Linked DNA regions of Drosophila melanogaster. The protein of the gene in region 2 interacts with the protein of the main gene of each other region in a pairwise test. Each region holds a gene or a part of one and is shown on either strand. Other genes may lie near its edges.

The links.
Region 1: the proteins of CG17778 (region 2) and CG17803 interact in a two-hybrid assay, tested with the Drosophila melanogaster proteins (one large-scale study listed by BioGRID).

What each region holds. Positions count from the first base shown.
Region 1 is NT_033777.3:17,796,515-17,804,463, forward strand, and holds CG17803 (uncharacterized protein), read right to left. Parts: upstream 4,999-7,949; 5' UTR 4,648-4,998; coding exon 4,612-4,647; intron 4,537-4,611; coding exon 4,210-4,536; intron 4,010-4,209; coding exon 3,171-4,009; intron 3,115-3,170; coding exon 2,794-3,114; intron 2,727-2,793; coding exon 2,486-2,726; 3' UTR 2,363-2,485; downstream 1-2,362. Other genes in the region: CG7379 (uncharacterized protein), read right to left, coding at 152-358, 420-1,372, 1,454-1,595; CG17806 (uncharacterized protein), read right to left, coding at 5,281-5,416, 5,473-6,491, 6,542-6,652; Nnk (nicknack), read right to left, coding at 7,016-7,142, 7,342-7,464, 7,527-7,949.
Region 2 is NC_004354.4:491,325-499,136, reverse strand, and holds CG17778 (uncharacterized protein), read right to left. Parts: upstream 4,524-7,812; 5' UTR 4,421-4,523; intron 4,360-4,420; 5' UTR 4,068-4,359; coding exon 4,020-4,067; intron 3,669-4,019; coding exon 3,333-3,668; 3' UTR 2,768-3,332; downstream 1-2,767. Other genes in the region: CG17896 (uncharacterized protein), read left to right, coding at 5,720-5,749, 6,509-7,812.

The DNA.
Region 1 (7,949 bases), on a different chromosome or scaffold from region 2:
GATCTAAACTGGGTGAAAGAGGGGAAAGTCGAAAAGGGATCGGGTCTAAGAAAGTCACTAAATATACATTAAGGTAAATCTTAGGATCGAATATTTTACAGAGCCTGGTGTTAGACACAGAGCAATGGGTTGGATAGGCTGGCCTAATAGACTAGGTCTTCTCCTCCTTTTCCTTGTTGTAGCGCTCCAGTTCTTTGAGGAACTGCGCCTTGGGTTTCATTACATTTGGCCGTTCTCCGCGGCAGTTGGGGCAGAACCACTTGCCTTTTGGTTTTAGTACCAGGGAGACGCACGAAAAATGGAACCACTCGATGGGGCACAGGTCATTGTCGCACAGGATCATCTCGCCAAAGGAGATCTGCAATAGAAAACGTGATTAGTGGCGAAGCTTTTCGATAGGAAAAGCACTGCGAACTCACCTGATTGCAGACACAGTAGGTCGGCTCGTCCGGATCAATGGTCTCCGGCGGCGGCGTCTCCTCTCGCGTACTGGCATTGGCATTTGAAGCCCCAGAACCGCGTACCTTGCGCTTTTTCTTCTTGCCGGAATTATTGCCACCAACTACGCCGGCTCCGCTGGCACCACCACCTCCGGCTGCTCCACTGCTCGTGGCTGCAGAGCCGCTAGCCAAACTGCCAGAAGCCGACTGCAGACTGGCCTTTCGTCCCTGTCCCGCTCCACTGGCACCGCCCAACGAGGATTTGCGCTCGCCACTGCCACCACCACTGCCACTGGCTTCATTTGCCGAGTTGGACTCGTTGCCGCCCATCTCCAGAGAGCTTCCGTTGTTAACAACACTCTCGTTTCGCCTCCTCGACCGCTTGCTACCTGTGCGCTGCAGTTCTCCGCCTCCTCCGCCGCTGGCATTGCCATTGGAGCCGCTGTTGCCACCATTACTGACATGGCTCGAGCGCTCCGAGTTGGGCGTTGAGCCGCCACCGTTGCCGGAGGTCATGGCATTAGAACCAGGCACAACACCACCTGCATAGCCGCCCAAGGCGTACAGATCTTTGGCCGAAAGCAGGCCGTTTCCATTTAGGCCACCGTTGCCAGTGCCCGCTTGGTTGCCCTGCTCCCTCATCGGGCTCTGCAGGCGTTGCAGCTTCGAAGGCGTGCCATCGTCCAGGAGCGCATACCGATCGCGGTCCTCCTTCAGGTCCAGGTTCTGCTGGTCGGTGTCCAGCTGGCGCAGCTTGCCGTCGATTATCTCCTGCATATGATTGACGATCTGCATTTTTTCGTCGCCCAGTTCCTGCGCCTGAATGAGACTCTGGTGCATCCTGGAGATGCTTCGAGACCGTCGCCCGGCATCCGCGGAGTTCTGCAGGGACAGATACAGGTCGTAGTAGTGGTCTACGTCGCGAATGAGGCCTGCAAATCGACGGGTTTGGACCAAGAGAGGAGGTTAGGTTTTCCGCTTTTCCAACAGGCGTAATCTCGGCCAGAACTCACCTCTGTACTGGACGTCTATGTCGCGGATGCGTGACAACTGGCGCTGCACGTCGTCCGGCAGATTTTCCACCGAATCGATATAGTTGTCCACATAGGTGGCCGAATTGATGGCCTCCGACTCGGATGCAATGGGGTTTATCATCGTGTTTGGACTGCGAATCGCTCTATTCCCGCCGCGACATCGGCTCGGGGACGTGGGTTCGGATGTGAGCTACTCTTCCGGCGCTCTGGAAGGGATCGGCTGGCTATATAGTACTCCGATTCCACTCAGTTCCAACTTTTTGTATGGCGTTGCGAGTCGCAACTTGCGACTGTACTCGTGTGTGCGTGTATGTGTGCGTAGGTATTATTTATATGTATGTATACAATGGGTGGTTGTGCTTTGCAACACTAGTCGGCTGGTGTTTTGCTACACTGAAATCGGGGTGGTTAACGGCACTGCTGTTTCGGTTGAATTTTTTAATAAATAAGTAATATTGGTTTTAATAGTTTGTGGTCAAATATCTTCTCATCATTTCCCTAGGCAATAGAAAGTATTAAAAATATTTTCCCTTTAAATACAAATTTAATTATTACTTTCAGTCCTTTTTTTGTATTCATTTTATTACAATTATCGTAATTTTAAAATCATGTATCATTCATTCAACGGCCAGTGTAGGAAACGTTCAAAACCAACCCCTTACTCATTTGCCCGGGAAACTGGAGAATTTCAAATAACAGTATCAGCTGATTTTTTAATTAGGAAAAACAAATGCACTTATATTATTTTTTAATTGATTATTATTTAATATTAATAATATAAATATTTATTGTTCCTTTCATGAAACATACGTCTGAACTATTCAGATTTGTATTTAGGTTGTCAAGTCTATTCTTCATTAAGCTTAACGTTATTAAATGCATAATACTATTATACGAATTATATATTTTTAAAATATTGTTCGTGCATTATCTTCTATGTCGGCACTTACTAAACGTCACCTTAGAAGTATTACGTACTTCGCCATGAAAGTATATAAATTTTTATAAAAATTATATATATTCAATAGTTTGAGTCTTTTCATCCTGAGTTCTGGCTCGCACTTCCTGTGCATTTGGCTGCATTGGTGTTTGAGATTCAAAGTCCATTTCCTTATCAATATCTTTAAATGCTTGTTGCAGTCCATTAACTTCTTCTTTTATAGCTTTCTGCATATTATCCCGATGCAAATCGGTGTTTTTGTGTTTGTTTAGATTATATCTATGGCGGTAGTGAACATCGCAGATCTCGCACCTGGCAATATAAATCAAGTAAAGAAATAAGTAAACGGACAGTAGTCGGGATTCTCTTTTGCACCCACCGATGAGGATGCATTCCTGTGTGTACATCCTGATGCTTTGTTAGTTGGGAGCGCAGCAGGAATCCCTTTAGGCAGATGTCACAGCGAATGGGAAACTTGTCGTGCAAAGCTTGATGTCGTTTCATGGCAGATGGGTCAGCGAATTTCATCTGGCAAATCTTGCACTGGAAGGGTCTGCTTCCGTTGTGGAAGTTCATGTGCAGGACTAGACCTTTCTTGCTGGTATAACTTTTGGTGCACTGGGTGCAGTAATGGCGACTGGATCCCTCTTCCTTTGATTTCACCCGCGTTCGAATCCGATTGCCTGCTCCGTGAACATCCCTGGAGTCAATCGAAGTGATTAGATGATGGAACCATCAAATAGTAGGTGCACTCACCTCTCGTGCCTGTGACGACTGCTTGCGTTTGCGAAGGACTCATTGCAATGGTTGCAGGGAAAGGGATGCTCGCCCTTGTGCAGCGCTCTTACGTGAATGTTGCGCGTATAGAGATCGTAGAATTTCTTCGGGCATTCGGGGCACTCGAAATTCTTGGCCCTATTGTGACGGAGCAAGTGCATCTGCAGCTGACTGCGTTGGCGAAAGGTGTGGCCGCACTTGTCGCAGACATAGTTCAATGGCTTCGCTTGTATCCTTTCGCGGCGCCTTCGGTTTTTCTCCTCTGGACTCACCCTTAGTTGAGGTTTCTTTGGTAGTGAAAGCGAATACTTTGGTGCAGTTTCCTTTAGGCTATTGTACTCACCGAGCACAACCTTATAGACCTTGGCTCCGTGATCTACCTTACCAATCTCTTCCTTAGTCTTACACTTTCGTATGCTAATTATTTCATTACATGACTTGTTTTGCTCCAAAGCAAAGTCTTTTTCTGTGTCTCTGTCTAGATCCAACTCATCTTCACTTAGTGAAAACTGAGTTGGCTCTGCATCCAGTGGAAAGTCGTCTTCATCCAGGACACCCTCACTATCCGGCAACAACTCTGAGCTGAAATCTTCTAGTCCTACGACTCCCTTTGCCTGCTGGGCGGACTCTTCGTAGAGCACATTTTCCAGCTCCGACTCCATTTCCTCGTCACAGATTTGAATGTTGTACTTTTCCGTCGTCTGCCTAAGCTTTTTGTCGACCTGCTGGCATTTGGCACGGAATTCCATGGATTTATTCACAGTTTCCTGGCACGTTGAGCAAATGTGATGCGGTAGCTCTTTGACTCCTTGTTGTATCTGCAATAAAATGTTAGTTCTTTAATGCAGCTTTATTATAATATTATATAGTGGGTTTATTTTTCTGTTAAATTTGTGGTAGAACAGTTTAAGAACTCACATATTATGTTCCTTGTCAACAAAGTTAACTTATAAAACGAAGATGAAACAATTTAACAACAAAAAAGAAAACGTAAGTTTAAATGCAGACGCAGACGTACCCACACCCCAGTGATGACCTTTATGTGGTGCAGAAGCGCTATGTTGACCCTGTCATATAGATCCTGAGCATCCTCATGCCGCGATATGATGCGAAAGCAGGTGCGGCACTTGCTTGCCGGCGGGGGATCGCATTCCTGGAGCCCAGTGCTCTCCTCTTCGAAATCACTATCAAAAAACGCACTGTCTGCTGTGGTCGTGTCCAGGGCAGTGGATGTGGTGCAGGTGGCGTCACTGTCGTCTGCCTCCGCCAGGAATAGCTTCACAAGCTTTTTGTTAACCTGCCGCGAGGAGCGCATTGTGTCTTTGTTGTCGTTTGACTGGCGCACCTTGAATGCAAAAAAAAAACGAAGGTATACATAATATACCAGATTAGAATATTAATAAGAGTTTGAGTGACACACCCATTTTGAATCGCTGGCTGTCCTAGACGACCTCATCTGTGAAAGTTATTCGCAAATAATTTGAGCTCTCCCGTTTTCGGCAATGTTGAGTCGATGAAAAGTTTCGCGGACTGTTGGGAAAGTCCGGAATATGCTTTCTTCTTTCACCGAGATGTGCTTGGACTGGCGAACTCGCAGAGGAATCTGTTGCCGCAGATGCGAACTGCGCACTTCATCCTTTGCCGGCAAACTGCGAATTTCTGCAAAACAGCAAGCACAGTTTGCAGGGCTGCATAACCTTGAACTAGGGGTTGAACTCCAGGCTGTGTCCATGTGCGTAGCCAAGAGCACTTTTCACGGGCGTAGCGATTTTAGTACGGTGCATATGGCTTTAAGCTTTTTGTTTACTTTAAGCACTTGTTGAGAATAGCCCAATTCATTATTTTAATTATATTCTTTATTGAAAATTATTGATGTTAGCAAAACCACAATTTACTGCTATGCCATATCTTATTAGGAAACAAGGGAAGATAGTCGAGTCCTCGACTATCAGATACCCGTTACTCAGCTTGGATGAGGGAGCAATTTGTAACCAATTTTTATTGACATCAACTTTAGAAAGTTTCCAGAGGGGCATTTTGCATGTCAATAGCAGAACATGCGAAATAATCCTCTCAAGGAACCAACGATTTACCCATCCGCTTGGACAGTAGCATCCATTTTTGGCATTTTTGACTGCTCCTCAACTTTCAGGCGATGGTGCTTCGACTTGTAGTGGGTGGCCAGGGCGTTCCTTCTATTGAAGAACGTTTGGCAGAGCTCGCAGCTAAAGAAAATGTATTAAGTAAAGATCCAAACAGTGTCTGTTTGACCGTAACTCACTGGAATGGCTGTTCCCCCGTGTGGACCACGATGTGGTCCTTGAGAGCCGTCGAAGTCTTGAAGGCCTTCTGGCATGTGGAGCACACGTGTGGTCGGTGGACGGGACTCTCCTTGTGGTTGCGCTCGTGGTTCAGCCGCTTGAGGCAGTTGTCAAATCGCTTGCCGCAGTACTTGCACACGTAGGGCAGCTCCCCGCGATGCTTAATCCGCACGTGCAAATTGAGCAGGTGTTGGGTGAACTCCATGCGGTCGCACTCCTGGCACTGGAACTCCTTGGTGCCCTTGTGCCGTCTGAGGTGCACATTGAAGTTGCCCTTCTCGCTAAAAGTTTTGCCGCATTGGTCGCAGAAATATAGTCGGTGCTCCAGTGCATAGGCTCTTTTGGCAGCTCCCCATTTGTTTCGTGTGGCATACTTTTCCTCTTTGGTCTTATTGGTAGTTGAGTCAATATTCTCTATTTTAGCCATGTCCTTGCCAGGACACTCCTCTAAGCACCCTTTGCTCCTCGGTTTTCTTCGGTTTTTCTGTACTTCCCCGATGACTTGTAGTGTTCTGGGCTCTTCCTTCATGACTTGGGGCATTTCGGATGCTGGCTCTTCGTGATTCATGGACTCCACTGGATAATCAGATGAAAGCTGAGGCTCGCTCTTCACCTGAATAGGATCCTCGCACCGGAGAGGATCGACGAGATCGGCAGGCGGTATTTCCGGGACAACTAAAGGGTAAATTGGGGTTTCTACTGTCTTAAGAGGCACTCCATCCACTTTCTTGCTGCGTTGTGGTAGAATCCTTCTCCTTTGCGGCTGTGCAATACTAATGGGCATAACATCCACCCTACTTTCTAACCTGTTATTCCCGCCTTCCCTTGCAGTCTCAGTGTCCGAATCCTCTTGTTTGCCCTGCTTTTCGAACCAAGACGAATTGGTCCTGATGCAGCGCTCCCGGAATGCGATGGCATCGTTCAGATCCAGCAAGCAGGATAAGCAGATCCTCGTTGGCACACCTGGCTGGTTCCTCAACTGGAATCGAAGAGGGAATGACTCCGTGGTTACCGGGAATAGTCACCTACCCAAAAGCCCGTCAGCTTGAGGATGTTGCTCAGGACATCTCTGGCCTCCTTATCGAAAAGTGACTTGGCGTGCTCCGCCTCCTGGCCACAGGTGCGGCACAGCGTGGTCATCCTTTTTGCAGTTTCAACTCAATTGTTTAGTTTCCGCCAAGTAAACAAAGTTGGACTTCTGTTTACAGAATAATCTAGTTTATCATTGTTTTGTGTGAATGGCACATTTTAAAGTGAACTACAAGGAATTAGTTCTTCCGATTTGAACTGTGGATTTGTTGTAATAAACGTTAAATATTTAAGAGGATGAAAGATCCACTTTCAAAACTGATCGATACACCCAAATCACAGTCAGATATCTTATGATATTTCATCTTATTAACTTCTTAGAAATACTTTTATACTAAATTATTATAATTTTAACAGATAAGAACATTAGACCTCTAAACGGATGACAACACTTAACAACAAAACATTTGTACCTTATTTATTTTTGGAATCAATTTCGGACTTAGCACTCATTGCGATCAGCTTATTTTGATGCTGCCTGGAGCGGTAGTGGGTCTTCAAGTTCGAGTTCCGTGTAAAGGACACTTTGCAGACCTCACAGCTAAGGGGAAAGTAGATAAAAACAAAGTTAAACATTTGAAAAAGTAACTTTTCAAGCAGGAAATAGTTAACTTGATTGCTGGATGTAGTGGATATTAGGAAGTAAAGAGTTACAAAGTGGGAATAATAAGATGATTGATACTTAAAGGAATATGTTAGGAGAAAGAAAAATCTAGCCATATATCTTCACAAGATCTTACTGGAAGTTACGCTCGCCGGTGTGGACCACCTCGTGCTTGGCCCTCTGGTAGTTCGACTCGTATCGCTTGTCGCAATAGTTGCACTTGAAGTTCTTTGGTGTTTTCTTGTTCCGGTGTACCCGGCTGAAAGAATGGCAGTGTTCGTAGGTGCAATTTAGGGGATTTAAGGTATGCTATAGACTCACTTTTCGTGGCGCGATCGCATAGTACTGTGCACAAAACGCTCGTCGCAGAACTGGCAAGCGTATGGCTTCTCTCCGCGGTGCTTCACCCGAATGTGAATGTTCAGGATGTACCTGTTGAACTCCTTTTGTCCGCACTCAGGACACTCGAAGGGCTTGACGCCCGAGTGGCGCAGCACGTGCAGATTAAAGTTGCCCTTGTCGGTGAATTTCTTGCCGCAATGGTCACAGATGTGGACCTTTTGGCTTATGTATGTTTTTCGTTTTTTCTTCGCAGGTTTGAGAAAGTCGGTGTCGTCGTTTTTGGGAGATGATCTCTTGGTGTATTTTCGACGAGGCTTCTTATCTTCGTCAAGGGCCGATTGACGCGATGTGGCTTCTATATCTGACATAGAATCAGCATCTGTATCGCTGTCGCCGTCCTCG
Region 2 (7,812 bases):
AATCGAGCTAACGACCGCTTTTCTTGATAAGCGACGGTTGCAACTACATAAAAACAAAATGATAAGCTCCGATCCGAAGATGATCAGTGGGCCAAAAATTGGAATTGGGATGCACCTCAGGAGGCGGCGAGGCGTACACGAATTGTATGTGCCCTCCAAGGAACAATGATTATTGAAATGTCTAAAGAAAACTAAAATTTAAGCTCCTTGCCATTCATTTTAATTGTGATTGGCATTCGAGAACGCAAATGTAATTTACGTGTATTTAGCAGCTCAAAGAATATGTCTTAAATGTACACGTCTTTTGCAGATACTTGATTCATACAATCTAAGCCACGCTACTTATTGCCGACTGCAGTCGGGCATTCAAAAAAGACTGCAAACGCGCGTTCGCAGCGGATATTAGCTATCTTTATAGCACACTTAACTCACAGCAGCAAACCCCATCAACTACAACGACAAACTGGTTGCGAACAAATCCACATTGCAGGAAAATAAGGGGTGTAAATCAAACACGAACCTCAAAGGCGGGCAATTTTGCTTGCTCCTACTGTTTTTGTTGTGACATCTAACCAGTTTCTTGTAAAACACAGCAAACGTCGTTCGCACCCCTGACGCCTGTAACTCTTTCTCAGTTATTGTTGGGGCCGCCGTTGCAGTTGCGAAATCATAACGTCAGCGCACCGAATACCAACTTTGTTTACTTTATCAGCACAGTTTTGGAGAGGCCATAAAACCGTCACCAAGAATCGCACACCCGCACTCAGCGAAAAATGGCAAAGGATGTGGGGTCAGCATCGCCACATCACGTACCAAGGCCATAATATATGCGATTTTCAGGCCTAACTAGAATTAAACAGCTCATTAAATTGTGTCAGTTACCCGCTGGAGCACAAGTGGAATGTTCAGATGCCATTGGGTCACATAAAAAACCAGACAAGAGCCACAAATAACGATTCCTAGGCTAAAGAACGATGGCCGTTTAATTGTCATTACCTATACAAATTTGTAGCATCATTGCATGAATCTAAAAATAAAATTATGAAAACTATACAACCGTGCAATTTTAAACAAAATAATTAATTAAAATGTACTCAAAACATTATGGAACAGTCAATACCACGAAATGCAGGGGGAATCAAATAAACATTATGGGGCACAAAATTTCTAAGGACTGTGCTAAATTTTATTTTAAAGATTTTTATTTTGAAAGCGATAAGTTAAGATGCAGTTCTTGCCTGCTAATTAAGGGATCACAAACGCAGAGGCCAAAAGTGGGTCAAAACCTTTCGTTCACACATTCCATTTTGATTGGGAATGATTTCAGATTGATCTCGATGCTTTTTTATTTGCGGTAATCAAAAAAGACCAGCTCATTCACACAAAAGCTCGAAACAGGGAATAAAGAAAAATGGGATGGAGAGAGGGAAAGACATGTACATAGAAACAAAATGCCAAAGAGCAATTCTGCTTTTCAATATTGTAAGCTCGCTTTTGCAACAGCAATAGGTCCAAAAGTTTGGGAAATCCCACAGTAAAAACGGCAAACATTTGTTCAAGTGTATAGCTAATGACTGAATATAATGTACAAGTTGGGAAAAAAAACGCAAAGCGTATTTTTCTCTCGGTCTAGTGTGTTGTATAAACAGTTGGCCGGGCGATTCGACACTCACTTTACAATCATTTTTCCGTTCCAAAACTTGCTTTCCGTGGATTCTTGATAAGCTAGAAACAGGAGGTGACTCACCTTGGCTTTGGCGAATCCATCGGGGTTACAGGTGGGCAGGAAGTGGATTTCGGTGAGATTTAGTAGCGCCTGGACCTTCGGGTCCCCATCGTAGTGGGTGGCCAGGTATTCGGCCATATAGAGAACCATCTGACGACCCACGGCTTCATCGCCTTGTATGTTGGCCACCAGTTTAACCATTGGCCTTAGGAGATCTCCATTCTTGGACTCCCCGGTAGGTGCACTTAAGGCTAGGGCGTAGATGGGTCGATCCTCCAGGGATTTGCCTATTGTATAGGTCTGCGCCAAGTCGGGGTAATCCTTGGCTAGCTGGCTGAAAAGATCTCCTATTTCCTCGTTTTTTAGGTAGTGAGGACTCTCCAGGAAGTTGTCCTCTTCCTGGATGACCCGGACTTCGCTGTATTCTCCGACTGCGCAGCCGATGATCAAGGCTAGGCAGAAAAACAACATTTTGGGGATTCTCGGGGACTCTCCCGGAGCGCTCGCAGTTTCTGTACACGTAGGCAGGCAGCAATGCGATGATTAAGACACAAAACGCAGGCGCGCCACTTTCAACAGAAAGTGGATGCTGAATGAATGAACTATTTTCCCCAGAACCACTTTCTTGAACTTTCTTAGTGCCAATTTTTAAACTTGTGCCACAAATGTGGGCACGCCACGCACACAAACGTAAAAAAACACCGACACACCGATGCAAAGATCTACGCACACCCAGATGCGCGCACAATAGAGCTGCAGTTATTGCACTTTCTTTTCGTACACTTTTTTCGCAATGATCTTCTCGCCAGCCTAGGATGAATCAGCGTATATTCGCTTCTTAAACAACTGCCATGATACATACATTTTATTCGCAACACGGAGAATATAAATAAAATCGCAAATGAAGTCACGAAAGTACGCGAACGCAGCAGCGACCACTGTTGCCACTCGGCTGCGATCAGATGACATTGCCAGATGCGACTTAGAGGAGTTGCCAGAAGGTTGTTGTTGACAACCGGATGGCGCCAGATTTAAATATATGCGTTCCTCGTCTCCCGAGGTTTAACTAACTTTTATTTTCTCTAGAGCTCAACAAATAAATCTCCAAAAATGAAACTAACACAAGAATAACCATTGTGTGTGGCCTAAATATGTACGGTCTGTTATATATTATCTTTTAAAACGTGTCGTATCAAAAACTACCTCAAAATACTATTATGTTAAGGCAAAATTTGGAAAAGTGCATTCAGACATTCCGGTTCGTCCTAAAGAACGCATATCATCGTAAATGTTGTTTACTCTGTGTTAAGCATTGTGTTTTTGTGTTCTTAGAGCAGTGAGTTTTCGTTATTCCTGCCTATCACTGGAATAAAACACCAAAAAAAAACCTTAATTCGCATACAATGGGTGTGGTTTTCTTAATGTGTATACATGTATATAAAGTATAGGATTTTTTTCCGAGTCTAAATGCTTGGAGTGGGCTTGCGATATATAGTTACACAGTTGATTGCTTCAGATTGGTGCCAATTTAGTCCCTACATTTGCGTCCCCATTGACACATTTACCGCACCTATTCGCCAGGGAGGCCAATCAATAGGGTCATTGATTATTCATGAATACCAACCCCTGCTCCATCGAGCCCTTTCTCGGGCTTTTTGCGACCCTTCTGGGAGCTAGCTATCCGCTGTTTTAGAGTGTGAAAAGTCTGCTGCATGCTGCGCATTTGGTACCGTATGGAGCTGCTGACGTCACGCTGCAACTGCTGCACCTCGCGAATGTCCTTGCGCAGATTCTGGTACTCGTTGGTCACCTCGCTCATCGACTCGAGCAACTCGAGGACCTCCATCTCGTCCATCTGCTCCATCGTCGTCTGTTCGAGGCTGCGCTCCACCGCGTGCAGTTTGTGGGCCATCGTGTACAGCTGCGATCCTGCATTGGCCACCTTGAAGCAGAGGGAAATGTAGGTTACCTATGGATTAAGTAATTGAATTTTGGCCGCTTCCGTTCTCTCTTCAGCTTAGGGAAGCATTGAAAAGATATTCCCAGGAGAACTTATGATCAAATCCTGATAACAACATCTTAAATTAAGTTCGATAAACTTGGATTAACAGTCTACATTTAGGTACTTTGGACAAAGATCTTAAATACTCATATTTCGGCACCAACTGACAATGTGGCTTATGATTGTAATAGACCGCCATGGAGTGTCCCTAATTTCTCTCACTACACTCTGAGTGCCTATACTTCTGAATGAATAAGTGGCTATTTCTGTTTGCCTGGTCGATAAGCTCACCGATTTTTCCAGAGCGCTGATGTCCTGGTAGCCCGGCGTGGCCTCCATCTTTTCCAGATCCCAAGCTGCCTCTCGACCTCAGCCTCTTGGCATGACAGTAAGTAGTAAGTCAGCGCAGCAAGTCCATACTGCGGCAAATAACAAAATTGTTTTTGCCTAACTTAAGGCGCGTCGTCCGGAGCGCTGACAGTCCAGTCCAAGCTCTCCGAGCAGAGTGAGCGAGTCCTGCGATTGGTCCCACTATTTATATGCTCCTGCACACAAGTTGACTTCCGCATTCCGCAGCAAGAGAGGGAGCGAGAGAAAGAGCGAGTGGCAGTGCTGGTACTTCTTTAGCTTGCTTAAAAACAACGTATAAAAATATGCTATATTTAATCGAATTCTTTTTAGTATATGCTTACACTTTTCGAAGCCAATGGATTTTTTGTAAACGTTATGGATTTCAAATGACAGAACTTTTTTTTTGTAATTCCTTGATTCAACTACCGGTGGGCATCACTGAAGAGCAGAAAGGAGCTACTATTGTCCCATTGAGAGACAAAGCAAACCACTTTCTTTAAAAAAGAGAAAGCCTTTCATTTGTGTTGCATCTATTTCCATGGATTTTGTTTTCCCGGTGCAGGCTAGTCCTTTTGATTATGTTGACCAGGAAGCGGGGCTGCTAGCAAAAGCTTACCCTGCCCGATGATGAAAGCGAACTTGCTATTTTAATAGACCAAAAGCCTAAAAGCAGGCAGACAAATTTTCATTCAGAAAGTGAAAAATGCGCCAGCCTGCTTCTGTCCACACTGCGTTCCAGGAAACATTTTTAGGATTTATCTGTTCAGCTAGGAAGCACTTATCACCTAATTGATTATTTTTTCCATCCTCGGTTAAGCACTAGTATTAATATTTGATTACATTTCGTTTAAGTTCATATGTACATGTGTCCATACGTACATATGTACATATGTACATACGTTGATGGAAAAACACAAATATACTACATTGGATCCGCCGGTGTTTATAAATACCCTAAGCCAGTTCAGCATGTCTAGCATCGAAGATCCAATACACTTCCACTGTTGTACACTTAAAAAGTTGTTACAATCTAACTGGAACACATAAACTGGCTTGATTACCATAAAATTGATTAACCATAGAGTATGCATTTGGGTACTACAATACTACACTGCCGTCACCATAGCTAACATTCCCTTCCAGCAGGGAATTGACAAGAACGCAAACACCGCAAAGCAAGCACTACACTCACACACACATACTCACAACGAGCCCCCAAAAAACAGCAACAGCAACAATTGCGAAAACAGAGCAACACAAAAACAACAGCTGTGCCCCCGGTTCCTAACGGTGTGTGCGGTAGCAAGTTACATACATATGTGCGTGTACACGTGTGTGTGAGCATCAAACTATAACCACTTGCTAATGTAAAGCACTTTTTGACGTGGTCTTCGCCTTCGCCTTCGTATATCAACAATCGCCACACCATGCCAATACCACACCACACCACCATACATTACCTCAAACCTATACAGATATATGTACATATATATTTCCATTCATGTATATGTGTAGAGAACAGTGGAGAATAACTGGCATCAGAAATGGGCGGCTGCGCTGCGTTCAGTTTCAGTGTAGCCACCGTTCGGAGAGCACGCGATCCGATCCCCGCACCAAATTCTCATCTCCGTATCCCCAAGATGTCCCTAGTGCGATTGATCGGAGCAGAGGTGAGTTTCCAATTGGTGGGTGGGTGTATGTCCTATAGGCATGCTAGGCTGCCATCCTCACCCTGACATACATACATACGTGCATCCATCCATCAGCATTTGGATCGTTTTGGCGCTCTCTCTCGTTCTCTCTGACACTGGTGTGGCCGTGAATTCGGTAATTGGCGATGCGATTGGCCTTGGGCATGTAATGTATGCACTTTCGGCGCCCATCTCACACTCCACCCACTCTAGTGATTGGAATGGCCCACGGGTGTGAGCGGCGAACGGGCAGTTGAAAACAACACATGTTACGCAATACGTCGCTGCGAAGCGGAAGAAGTAGAACTAGAACCAGAATATTAAGCAGATAAAGCGCACAAGGCGAATTCGCGGGGAATTTAGCGGTACAATGTTTGAGTTGACGTTAAATCCAATAAAACGCGATAAGCGGTACCTTTCCACGACAGGCGCGCCATGAAAATCTCGAATTTGCCAGATGGACACTGATAAGCGTGGGCGGCTGCCCCCCGCGCGCCTACCACTCAAGTTATCAACACCCAAAAAAATAGACCTCACCCCACATTAAACGGATTTGTCCGGCCGTTGAGGTTAGGATTGCGAGCACTGGGCAATTTGCAAAGCAAATGAAAGGTGGACTAAATGGTAAATTTTTGGTTTAGTATACGTGGAAGTGGGAAAATAAAGTACGCTTAGCGATCGGAGTTCATACCTTTTGTACTGGCTGTTTACCAACTCTTGTCCCTCCTTTATCACCAGGCCCGCCATCTGGCAAAGAGGTCCTACTCTTCAGCCGCTCCCACAACCAAGCTCTTCATCGACGGCAAGTTCGTTGAGTCGAAGACGAACGAATGGATTGACGTGCACGATCCGGCCACCAACCAAGTGGTCACCCGCGTGCCCAAGGCCACACAGGCGGAGATGCAGGCGGCCCTTGAGTCGAACAAGAAGGCTTTTCGCTCGTGGAGCAACCAGTCGATCCTCACCCGCCAGCAGGTGATGTTCAAGCTGCAGGCTCTCATCAAGGAGAACATGGGTGAGCTGGCCAAGAACATTACCAAGGAGCAGGGCAAAACCTTGGCCGACGCAGAGGGCGACGTGCTCCGCGGCCTTCAGGTGGTGGAACATTGCTGCAGCATCCCATCTCTGCAGATGGGCGAAACCGTAGCCAACGTGGCCAGGGACATGGATACGTACTCACTAGTGCTGCCCCTCGGAGTAACCGCTGGCGTTGCGCCGTTCAATTTCCCGGCCATGATACCGCTGTGGATGTTCCCGGTGGCCATCACCACCGGTAACACTATGCTGCTGAAGCCATCGGAACGTGTGCCTGGTGCAACCATGTTGCTGATGGAGCTTCTTAACGAAGCTGGCTGTCCGCCGGGTGTCGTCAACGTAATCCATGGCCAACATGACGCTGTGAACTTCATCTGCGATGCTCCCGAAATTAAGGCAGTGTCCTTTGTGGGCTCCGACCAGGCAGGCAAGTACATTTACGAGCGGGCTGGCAAGAATGGCAAGCGGGTGCAATCTAATATGGGCGCTAAGAACCACGGCATCATCCTGGGCGATGCCAACAAGGAGAATACTTTGAACCAGTTGGCAGGTGCCGCCTTTGGAGCTGCTGGTCAGCGTTGCATGGCATTGTCTACGGCTGTCTTTGTCGGCGATGCCCAGGCATGGATTCCCGATCTGGTGGAGCGTGCCCAGAAGCTGAAGGTAAATGCCGGCCATGTACCTGGAACTGACGTGGGTCCCGTGATCAGTGCCGCCTCACGCCAACGCATTAATGACCTGATTGAGTCTGGGGTCAAGGAGGGAGCTAAGCTTATCCTGGACGGCAGGAAGATAACCGTGCCCGGATACGAGGATGGATACTTTGTGGGACCAACCATCCTAAGCGATGTTACGCCCAGCATGAAGTGCTACACTGAGGAGATCTTTGGCCCTGTGTTGGTTATCCTGAAGGCCGACACCTTGGACGATGCCATTGGCATTGTAAATGCCAATCCTTATGGAAATGGTACCGCCGTATTCACCACCAATGGAGCGGCAGCCCGCAA